Linked DNA regions of Callithrix jacchus. The protein of the gene in region 1 binds, or shares a complex with, the protein of each later gene. Links are inferred from orthologs where the notes say so. Each region holds a gene or a part of one and is shown in the gene's direction. Other genes may lie near its edges. The genes, in order: DKK1 and KREMEN1.

Region 1 (4,314 bases):
ACACTTATAGTATCAACCTGCTTTAAAAGCATTATGTACATTTTTTATATTTATTTCTATAATTTTATTGTTACATCTTTTATTACTGTAATTAGAATAAAGAGAACTTTATTCTCTAAAATGAGAACTCTGTCTCATAAATATTAGTATTCACTGTGCCCTTTCCCCCACCACCCATCTCACCTAAACATTAAAACAATGAGGCAACAACCCAGAGGGCCACCCAGTACCAGGGCTCTAGGCTTCCAATGTGTTTTTGTTGAATTAAATAGATGACTTTCCATTTATAAGCATGATGCCATTCTTATATATCAGCCTTACTTTATTCTATCTACACAGCAATTTCAATGACGTCAGATTCACTGTCTAATTCACTTTCAGCTCTCCTCCTCCACGTAGTTTATCTCCCTAGAAGGTGTATTGCGTGGTCCTGTGCAAGGTTTGACTTGGGAGCAAACACTGCGTTGGGAAGCCTTGTGAAACCGTTTGCTAATGAGGAAGTCGGGATCTAAGCCCTAAGGGTTTCTTATCTCCCCGCATTAGCCCACCACTGAGAAGGCAGAACCCGAGAAAGGCGACTGACCCGGCACGTTGGACCCCGTCCGCTTTGGCCCCGGCCACTTTGATCTCACTCGTCTGCCTAATCAAGTTCATCTACTGCCGCGACTGCCCTGATTCAAAGAACAACATTAAATAGTTTGATTATCGGACGGGCATTTCCCTCTCCACTCCAACCTTGATCTAATTTCTAAACGCCAGTCTCTCGCCTCCCTCTCTAAACTTCCCATCAAAAGAGAATCAGCTCCTCTTCCTTCTTACCCTCGTTTGATGTGCAAATCTCCTCTTTGCACATTTTTATCGCAGTGGCGGGGGGAGGGAGGAGGAGGGCAACGGAACGACCTTAAAGCCAGGGACCTAACTCAGATCTACAAGCTGCGACTCTTAAAGGGTTAATGAGTAATGAGCAAAGAGGCGTCTTGCTAGAGCCACTGAATTACAGATCGGTTTGTATTTAATACTGAATACGACTTGTGTGCACAGTCAGCGAGTGTTGGCGTAAGCGAGAGGGGCGAAAAGTGCTTTTGCAGAGCGTGTCACCCCCTCGGCTCTGAAAAGTATTTCAGATCCGGATAATCCAACCCTTACCGCCAGGCAAGGGCACCCCTGTTCTCAGAGTTCCTCCTGCCGCCTGCATTTATTAAAGTCGTCTGCTCTGATGCTCGCTGGTCGCCCTCACCCCGAAGGTGAGCCGGGCGGGCCGAGCGACCCAGCAAGGGCGGTGGGTGAAGAGTGTCAAAGCCCCCCCTTCATGTACACAAACACACCCCCTCCCAGCCCCTCCCAGCGCTTTGAAATCCCATCCCGGCTTTGTTGTCTCGCTCCCAAGGGGCCGGAATGCTCCGGGCCGGCGGTATAAAGGCAGCCGCGGTGGCGGTGGCGGCTCAGAGCTCTGTGCTCCCTGCAGTCGGGACTCTGGGACCGCAGGGGGCTCCCGGAACCCTGACTGTGCAGCCGCACCGACACGGTTTCGCGGGGACCCAGGCTTGCAAAGTGACAGTCATTTTCTCTTTCTCCCTCTTGAGTCCTTCTGAGATGATGGCTCTGGGCGCAGCGGGAGCTGCCCGGGTCTTGGTTGCGCTGGTAGCGGCGGCTCTCGGCGGCCACCCTCTGCTGGGAGCGAGCGCCACCTTGAACTCGGTTCTCAATTCCAACGCCATCAAGAACCTGCCCCCACCGCTGGGCGGCGCTGCGGGGCACTCGGGCTCTGCAGTCAGCGCCGCGCCGGGAATTCTGTACCCTGGCGGGAATAAGTACCAGACCATTGACAACTACCAGGTGAGAGGCGTCGGGGAATCCGGGGATGCTGTGACCTTGAAAGGGTCGTATCTGGAGAGGAGGGAGTAGAACGTGATGAGTGTGTGCGTTTCAGCGAGCATTTGGTAACACTGCATTTGGGAGCCGTGGATGGTAACAGGTCCTGGAGAGGGGGACAGATAGGGACTGTGATCAGGTCCACTAGTGAGGGTACCTGAACGTCTGGATGCCTCACCCTCTCCCCGAACCCTTCCCACAGCCATACCCGTGCGGAGAGGACGAGGAGTGCGCCACCGATGAGTACTGCGCTAGTCCCACCCGCGGAGGGGACGCGGGCGTGCAAATCTGTCTCGCCTGCAGGAAGCGCCGAAAACGCTGCATGCGTCACGCTATGTGCTGCCCCGGGAATTTCTGCAAAAATGGTGAGTTCTGAAAGCTCCCTTTCACACGAAAACTGCCCGGCCTTTGAGCCTCTATAAATGGGGTTGGTGGGGGGGAGGGGGGAGGCGCGGGGAATCTCCGCCCTGAGAACACTGCGGCGCCACCTGCTAATGGGTGTACAGCAGTCAAGATTCAGCTGAAGTTATCTTCTTCATTGCAAGTGTTTGATCGGGAAGGAGAGAGAAGTTCGGAGGTCTCTGAGGTCCTTATCTTCCTCTGGGTCCCTCAATGATTTAACACAATGGCTTACCTCGTAGTGGACGCTTCCATAAAAATGTGTCTGGGGAGAACCTTGAGGTCAATTGAGAAGAGGGGTGATGGGTAGGACGGCTGGATCATACAGAGAGACCAAAGAAACCAGCTTTGGCGTTCAGCTGCCCTTTCCATTTTTCTTACTCTGTCTCTCACAGCTCTGCCAGACTGGCCTCTCCTTCTGATCCTTGGTGAAACTGTTGTCGGCCAGAGGACAGTGATTTATCAGCATTGGCCGTTTTCAAGAGAGATCTTGATAGGCGCACAGCCTGACCTCTCCATCCTTCCCCCTCCCTCTCCCCTCTGCTGCCTTAGTATAGGTACTCTTCCCCCAACCACAGATCCACTGACTCTTAGTTTTTCAAAGAGGTGGATTTAAACAGCTAAAGAGGTCTCCCGAAATAAACTAACAGGGCGACGGCCCTCCTTAGGACCCAGCAGTACTCCGGGATGAGCTAACTGAATCTCTGTAATATAGAAATTACACAGTAAAGTAACTGGTGGGTGAGACTGCAATGTTCCAGGCAGCTGGAATTGCATTTGCTTAACTTAGTCTGGCAGTACCCACATAGCACCAGGGGGAGAGAAGTTATTTTTAAGAACATTTTTTAAGTGACTGATTTTCTATTTCTTAACCCAAGGGTAATATTAAAATGGGCATAAATCTCACTTGCCCCTACCACAGTTGGTGGGAAAGTATTTTGAACGGCTATACTAGGTATGTAACATATGACTGACTGGATACAGTGTACACATTGGTGCTTCTGTCCATCTGGAGAGCTTTGCCTTAACAGTAGAGAGGAAGTTCGGCTTGTTTTTAAAATGATGTCACTGCAACGAAGTATCTCAAGTTGGTGCTGGCATAGCAGACTGCCACTGTCAGAGCTGTTAGCAGTAATGCATTACAACCCTGAAGTTAATCACTATTTCCTGCTTCCTTAGGAATATGTGTGTCTTCTGAGCAAACTCATTTCCGAGAGGAAATTGAGGAAACCATCACTGAAAGCTTTGGTAATGATCATAGCACCTTGGATGGATATTCTAGAAGAACTACATTGTCTTCAAAAATGTATCACACCAAAGGTAAGATGTTAAGACTCATTTTTAGCACATCAGAGGTGTCTTTTGAATTATTTAATGAAATGATGCAGGTTTACCAGTAACTGTGTACTTTTTTTCTGCTGTCTTCTCCTGTGTAGGACAAGAAGGTTCTGTCTGTCTCCGATCGTCAGACTGCGCCACAGGATTGTGTTGTGCTAGACACTTCTGGTCCAAGATCTGTAAACCTGTCCTCAAAGAAGGTCAAGTGTGTACCAAACACAGACGAAAAGGCTCCCATGGGCTGGAAATATTCCAACGCTGTTACTGCGGAGAAGGTCTGTCTTGCCGGAATCAGAAAGATCACCATCAAGCCAGTAATTCTTCTAGGCTTCACACTTGTCAGAGACACTAAATCGGCTATCCAAGTGCAGTGAACTCCTTTTATATAATAGATGATACGAAAATCTTTCACGACCTTCATCAACTCAATCCTACGGATATACAAGTTCTGTGGTTTCAGTTAAGCATTCCAATAACACCTTTCAAAAATCTGGAGTGTAAGAGCTTTGTTTCTTTATGGAACTCCCCTGTGATTGCAGTAAATTACTGTATTGTAAATTCTCAGTGTGGCACTTACCTGTAAATGCAACAAAACTTTTAATTATTTTTCTAAAGGTGCTGCACTGCCCATTATTCCTTCTGTTATGTAAATTTTTGTACACATTGATTGATATCTTGACTGACAAATATTCTATATTGAATTGA
Region 2 (4,569 bases), on another chromosome or scaffold:
GGCGAGTCTGCACACTGGGGCAGATTTTCCTGCCGCCGCGCCGGGCGCAGGTCTGCACTTGCAAGCCCGGGACCAGGGACTTGAAAGCGCCCGGCACGCTGCCCGGACCTGCCCCGCCGGGCGCCACCGCCGCGCTTTAGGCGGGAGTCGTAGGAAAATCCCCTCTGCCTGGGGGGAGTGCAGGGGAGGAGCGCGGCCCACTACCGACCCCGGGTGCGTCAGGGGAAGACCTTGCCGGGGTGGGGCGGGGGTGGGGTGGGCAAAGGGCCTACCAAGCGGGGGACGAAAGTTTAATCAAGCCACGAGCTCCCGCATCCCTGACATCCCAGGCTGCAGAATAAGCAGCCCTGTCCGGTCCATTTCTGGACTTTGCGTTGGGCGTCGTACTTGCTTCTATCTCATCGAACCCTCTGAGGCCTTTTATTATTCCTATTCTGCAAACTACCGAGCCTCAGATCAGGAAACTTACCCTAGTTGGCGCTGGCTGTGTGAGGGGATACGGAACGAGGGGTCAGTATGTGACTGCAAACTTGGGGGTGGAGAAAGGATTTCAGCATTTGCTAAGCTCCTACTGTGCGTGCGTAAAAGTTTCCGAGCTTTCATTTTTTCTTTTTCTTTTTAAAGACCCGCCCCGCCGGTCTTGCTCTGTCTTACTGCAGTGGAGAGAACAAGGCTCACTGCAACACGGACCTCCCAGGCTCAAGCGATCCTTCTGCCTCAGCCTCCTGAGTAGCTGGGACCACTGATTGGTGTTTGTTGTTTATTTTCCTGTAGAGATGGGGGGGGGGTCTCGCTCTCTTCCCCAGGTTGGTCTCGAACTCCTGGCTCAAGCGACTCTTCCATCTCAGCCTCTCAAAGTGCTGGGATCATAGGAGTTAGTCACCGCGCCGGGCTCCAGGCATTCTTATTTAGTGCAACCGCTCTGGGGAGTAGTAGCTATTATCACCTTCATTTAACAGATGAGGAAATTGAGGTAAAAGCTATTTTTCCTTTAAACCTGCCCAAGGTCTTACAGGTGACCAAGTGGGATGTGAACTCTCCAAAGCATTCCTTTTTAATCATTACGACGAGCTAATCAAGGGAAAACAGTTTGCAAACTTCTGTTCTAATTATTACCGCTGTAGCTGAGCCCACGCGCGGGTCACGACCCGAGTGAGGGTGGAGCAGGGGTCACTGGGAGCCCGGCCTATTTCAGCCCCGCCAAACAGCTGGGTGACTCCGAGGCCCGGCCGAGGCCCCGCCCCGCACCTGCTGATCCTACCCCTGGATGGGACAAACAGAGCGCCCTGCGGGGCGGGCCCAGGTGTGGGTGAAAGGTGGGCGGGGCCTGATGCGTGAGTGGCAGGAGCGGCGAGAGGCCGGGGCGGGGCGTGCGTGCGCAGTGGGTTCCGCCCCCTGGGCCTCTCCGCGGAGCCTGGCGGGCCCCAGGCTGCAGGGGCGGTGGCGGCGCTGAGCGGGGCGGGCCGGGGCGGGCCGGGGCGGGGCCGCTGGGCAGCCGGGGCGGGGCCACACTCGGACCCCGTGTCCCGCTCCCATGGCCGCCCCCGGCTCCCCGTGCTGCCCCCTTTCCCCCGGGCCGCGCCCCGGGGCCCCGCACTGACGGCCCATGGCGCCGCCCGCCGCTCGCCTCGCCCTGCTCTCCGCCGCGGCGCTCACGCTGGCGGCCCGGCCCGCGCCCAACCCCGGCCTCGGCCCCGGACCCGGTGAGTGTGAGCGACCCCCAGCCGCCCGCCCTGCGCGGAGCCCACTCGAGGAGCGACCAGGGCTGGCCGGCCTGGGGGCCCCCCTCTCGCCTCAGGACCTTCCTGGCCCCTTCCCCGAGCCCCTTGGCGACGCCCCTCAGGCCTGGACGGTCCTTCCCTGGGACCCGTTTTCCCCCCCAGGCCCCTCAGCGACGCCCCCGGGCCCGGTGCCTTCCCCCGGCTGCAGGACCCGGTGTTCCTCAGCGACGACCCTCAGCCCAGGACGCCCTCTCCGCCTTGAGACCTCCAAGCCCCTCCGCGACGCCCCCTGGTCTGGGACATCTCCTCTGTCTCGGGACTCGGGACGCGCTGCCCGAGTCCCTCAGCGACACCAACCAGGCCGGGACGCCTCCTCTCCCCGGTACCTCCTGGGATCCCGCCCCAAACCCCTCAGCGACTCCGCCCGGGCCAGGACGCCCCCTGCTCCCCGGTACCTCCTGGGATCCCGCCCCAAACCCCAGCGACTTCCCCCGGGCCAGGATGCCCCCTGCTCCCCGTACCTCCTGGGATCCCATCCCCAAGTCCCCCATCGAGGCACCTTACACCGGGTTGGCTCCCCGGCTACAAGAGGCTACATCCCCGTCACCAAGACCCTCAGCGGCATCCCTACCCCGGGCCAGGGTCCCCTCCCCGAGCCTCACTACGACACCCCCGCATCCCCCCGTTCTCTCCTCCCTCCTACACCGGTGGAACCCGGCGCCTCCCCGCGTCGAGCCGAGTGGAGGCGGGAGGAGCCGGCGCTCAGCTCCTTTTCCCGAGTCCTCAGCTGCACCCGCTTGGGCGGACATTGTAACTTCTGCCTCACGAGGAACGGGATTGACTTGCTCGCCCTGCTAAAGGCAGGTTAGGGTCCTGGGACCACCCTGTACCCAGACGGGACGAGACGTGCCCTCTGTCCTCTGGGCCGCTTTGAACGTCCGTAAGACTCAGGTGATGGCTCAGCAGGGGGAGAGGAAGAAAGGAAGGGGTGATTGGAAACTTCTCCCCTACTGAGCTTAGGGTGCTCTTCCTGAGGGTGCAGCTCCGAGCTCCGTGTTTCGGGTTACCCCATGCCTTAAACAGGCCACTCACTGCCCAGGCCAAGCCCAAGGCCAGGTCTTTCTGAGGTGGGGCCCTGGACCTGGATGAAGCTTGAACTTCACTTAACTTCCACACACAACCTTGTAGCCGAATCCTTTCTAAGTTGAAGAGAAGGCAAGAGGGCGTTGCTTGGCGCGGTTACATTTCTCTGCAGGTTGTTTGGGTGTTGAGTATAGGACGTTTGTGAAAGGGATGAGAAGAGTTTATTACCCCTCTGCGGGAGTAGGCAAACCCGCCTCTGGGTTCTCCACCCAACGTCGCAGACTGATGTTGAAAAGATGAGATTTTGCTTGTGTAAGAAAACTCAGTTGCCTTGTTTACTCATTTGCTTGGATTAGTGAAAAAGCTAGGACTTGGTGTTGTCACTGCGTGACCTTGAGCCATGCCTTCAGCTCTCTGAGCCTCAGTTTCCTCATCTGTAAAGAGGATGATAACTTCTTTGCAGAGTGTTGTGAAGATTAAATGATACACTGTAGGTAACAGACCCACATATAGGAGGCAGTCAATAAACGTATTTCAATAATACTTTTATAGGGCCTCACAGTTCATCAAGTGCTAGACACCTCATTTACCCTGGGAATGATTAATTTCTGTAAAAGGCAAAGCTTGGCTTTAAATTGGTAGAACTGGGGTCTTCAAGTGTTGTAAACCTGAGGCTCAGTAAGTGGTTTCTGAGTGATCACCACCTTTTATGGGACTTCTACAATATGATCATTTCCACTGTTGTGAGGAGTGAGGGACATTCCGAGAGCCAGGATATGTCAACATAACTGTAACCTAGTAACCCCTTAGCTCAACTTTGCTATCTGTGTGGTCAGGATTTAATGTCCCCTACAAAGAGAAATGTATGGGTGGAAATAGACTGCTTCCCCTTCTGGAAAGGGCAGAGTCATAGCTCTGAAAAGCATCAAGTGAGCCAACTCTGCTCATGCTTGTTGGAAGGTATTCTTTTCCCAAGTATCTTTGCTTTTTTAAGGTCAAATGCAGCAGCTCTTAGGAAGTTTGCACCCCAAATCTTGGTGTGCTTTTATAAGAGTCTGGGGTTGGGGCAAATAACCATCGTGAAATGATTCGTGATAAGTGGTCCAAGTTCCCAGTTCCGTGAGCCTTGCCAGCTTGGTGTCTTACCATCCTGGTAAATCAGCGTTTTTTTGTTTTTACTTTTCCTGTTTAGTTGCAGAAGCAGTTTTAGGGAGATACCACATGGTCTTCAGCAACATATCCTGTCTAGATCCTACCCACTAGCTTTTAAAATCCTTTCCAATAAAACACACACACACACACACACACACACACACACACACACACACACACACACATTTTACTCTGAAGATATGCCAAGCTTGCCATTTTATATTTTTTGATACTGTAATTTTCTCTAAAATATTGTGGATGGAAAAAATTATTTCAATATTTATGTTCTGTACAATTTTGTAATATTTAAATTACTGGTGGTTTGCATTTTTGAATGCTGACTTTATAAAAACAGTTAGCTCATTCCCCATCAAGCCTACTTCTAATTACAATGTGTAGCCAACCCCAAATGATCTTCCTTCTCTTCATTCTTCCTTTAAGATTCTCTTCCTTCCTTCACAACTCATAAGAAGGAAGATAGAGGGTAATGGAATCTAGATTTTCCTTCAAGGAGGAGTACAGTTAGGGCTGTAGGGTTGATGGGTTCTCTATAGTGGGTCCCATCTAGAATTTATGGAATTTATGTTCTACTCAAATTGGGTGTTTTACTGCC

What was found.
Region 2: the proteins of DKK1 (region 1) and KREMEN1 are in contact, whole or in part, in a crystal structure (PDB 5FWW), measured with the Homo sapiens proteins. The link is inferred for Callithrix jacchus from reciprocal best matches to the Homo sapiens genes DKK1 and KREMEN1. Residues at the interface, in NP_036374.1 of Homo sapiens: Cys189, Leu190, Arg191, Ser192, Ser193, Cys201, Arg203, Trp206, Ser207, Lys208, Lys222, His223, Arg224, Arg225, Lys226, Gly227, His229, Gly230, Leu231, His261; in XP_011528731.1 of Homo sapiens: Pro67, Asn88, Asp90, Asp92, Ser94, Trp96, Gly105, Val106, Tyr107, Trp108, Tyr110, Asp127, His128, Gly129, Pro132, Thr140, Asn142, Glu164, Ser165, Tyr167, Ala168, Phe170, Asn189, Val191, Phe193, His196, Asp203, Gly204.

The regions. Positions count from the first base shown.
Region 1 is NC_133513.1:77,885,093-77,889,406, reverse strand, and holds the start of DKK1 (dickkopf-related protein 1 precursor), read left to right. Parts: upstream 1-1,413; 5' UTR 1,414-1,593; coding exon 1,594-1,836; intron 1,837-2,074; coding exon 2,075-2,237; intron 2,238-3,450; coding exon 3,451-3,591; intron 3,592-3,707; coding exon 3,708-3,961; 3' UTR 3,962-4,314. UniProt on the Homo sapiens protein: Antagonizes canonical Wnt signaling by inhibiting LRP5/6 interaction with Wnt and by forming a ternary complex with the transmembrane protein KREMEN that promotes internalization of LRP5/6.
Region 2 is NC_133502.1:199,743,464-199,748,032, forward strand, and holds the start of KREMEN1 (kremen protein 1), read left to right. Parts: upstream 1-1,510; 5' UTR 1,511-1,606; coding exon 1,607-1,703; intron 1,704-4,569. UniProt on the Homo sapiens protein: Receptor for Dickkopf proteins. Cooperates with DKK1/2 to inhibit Wnt/beta-catenin signaling by promoting the endocytosis of Wnt receptors LRP5 and LRP6.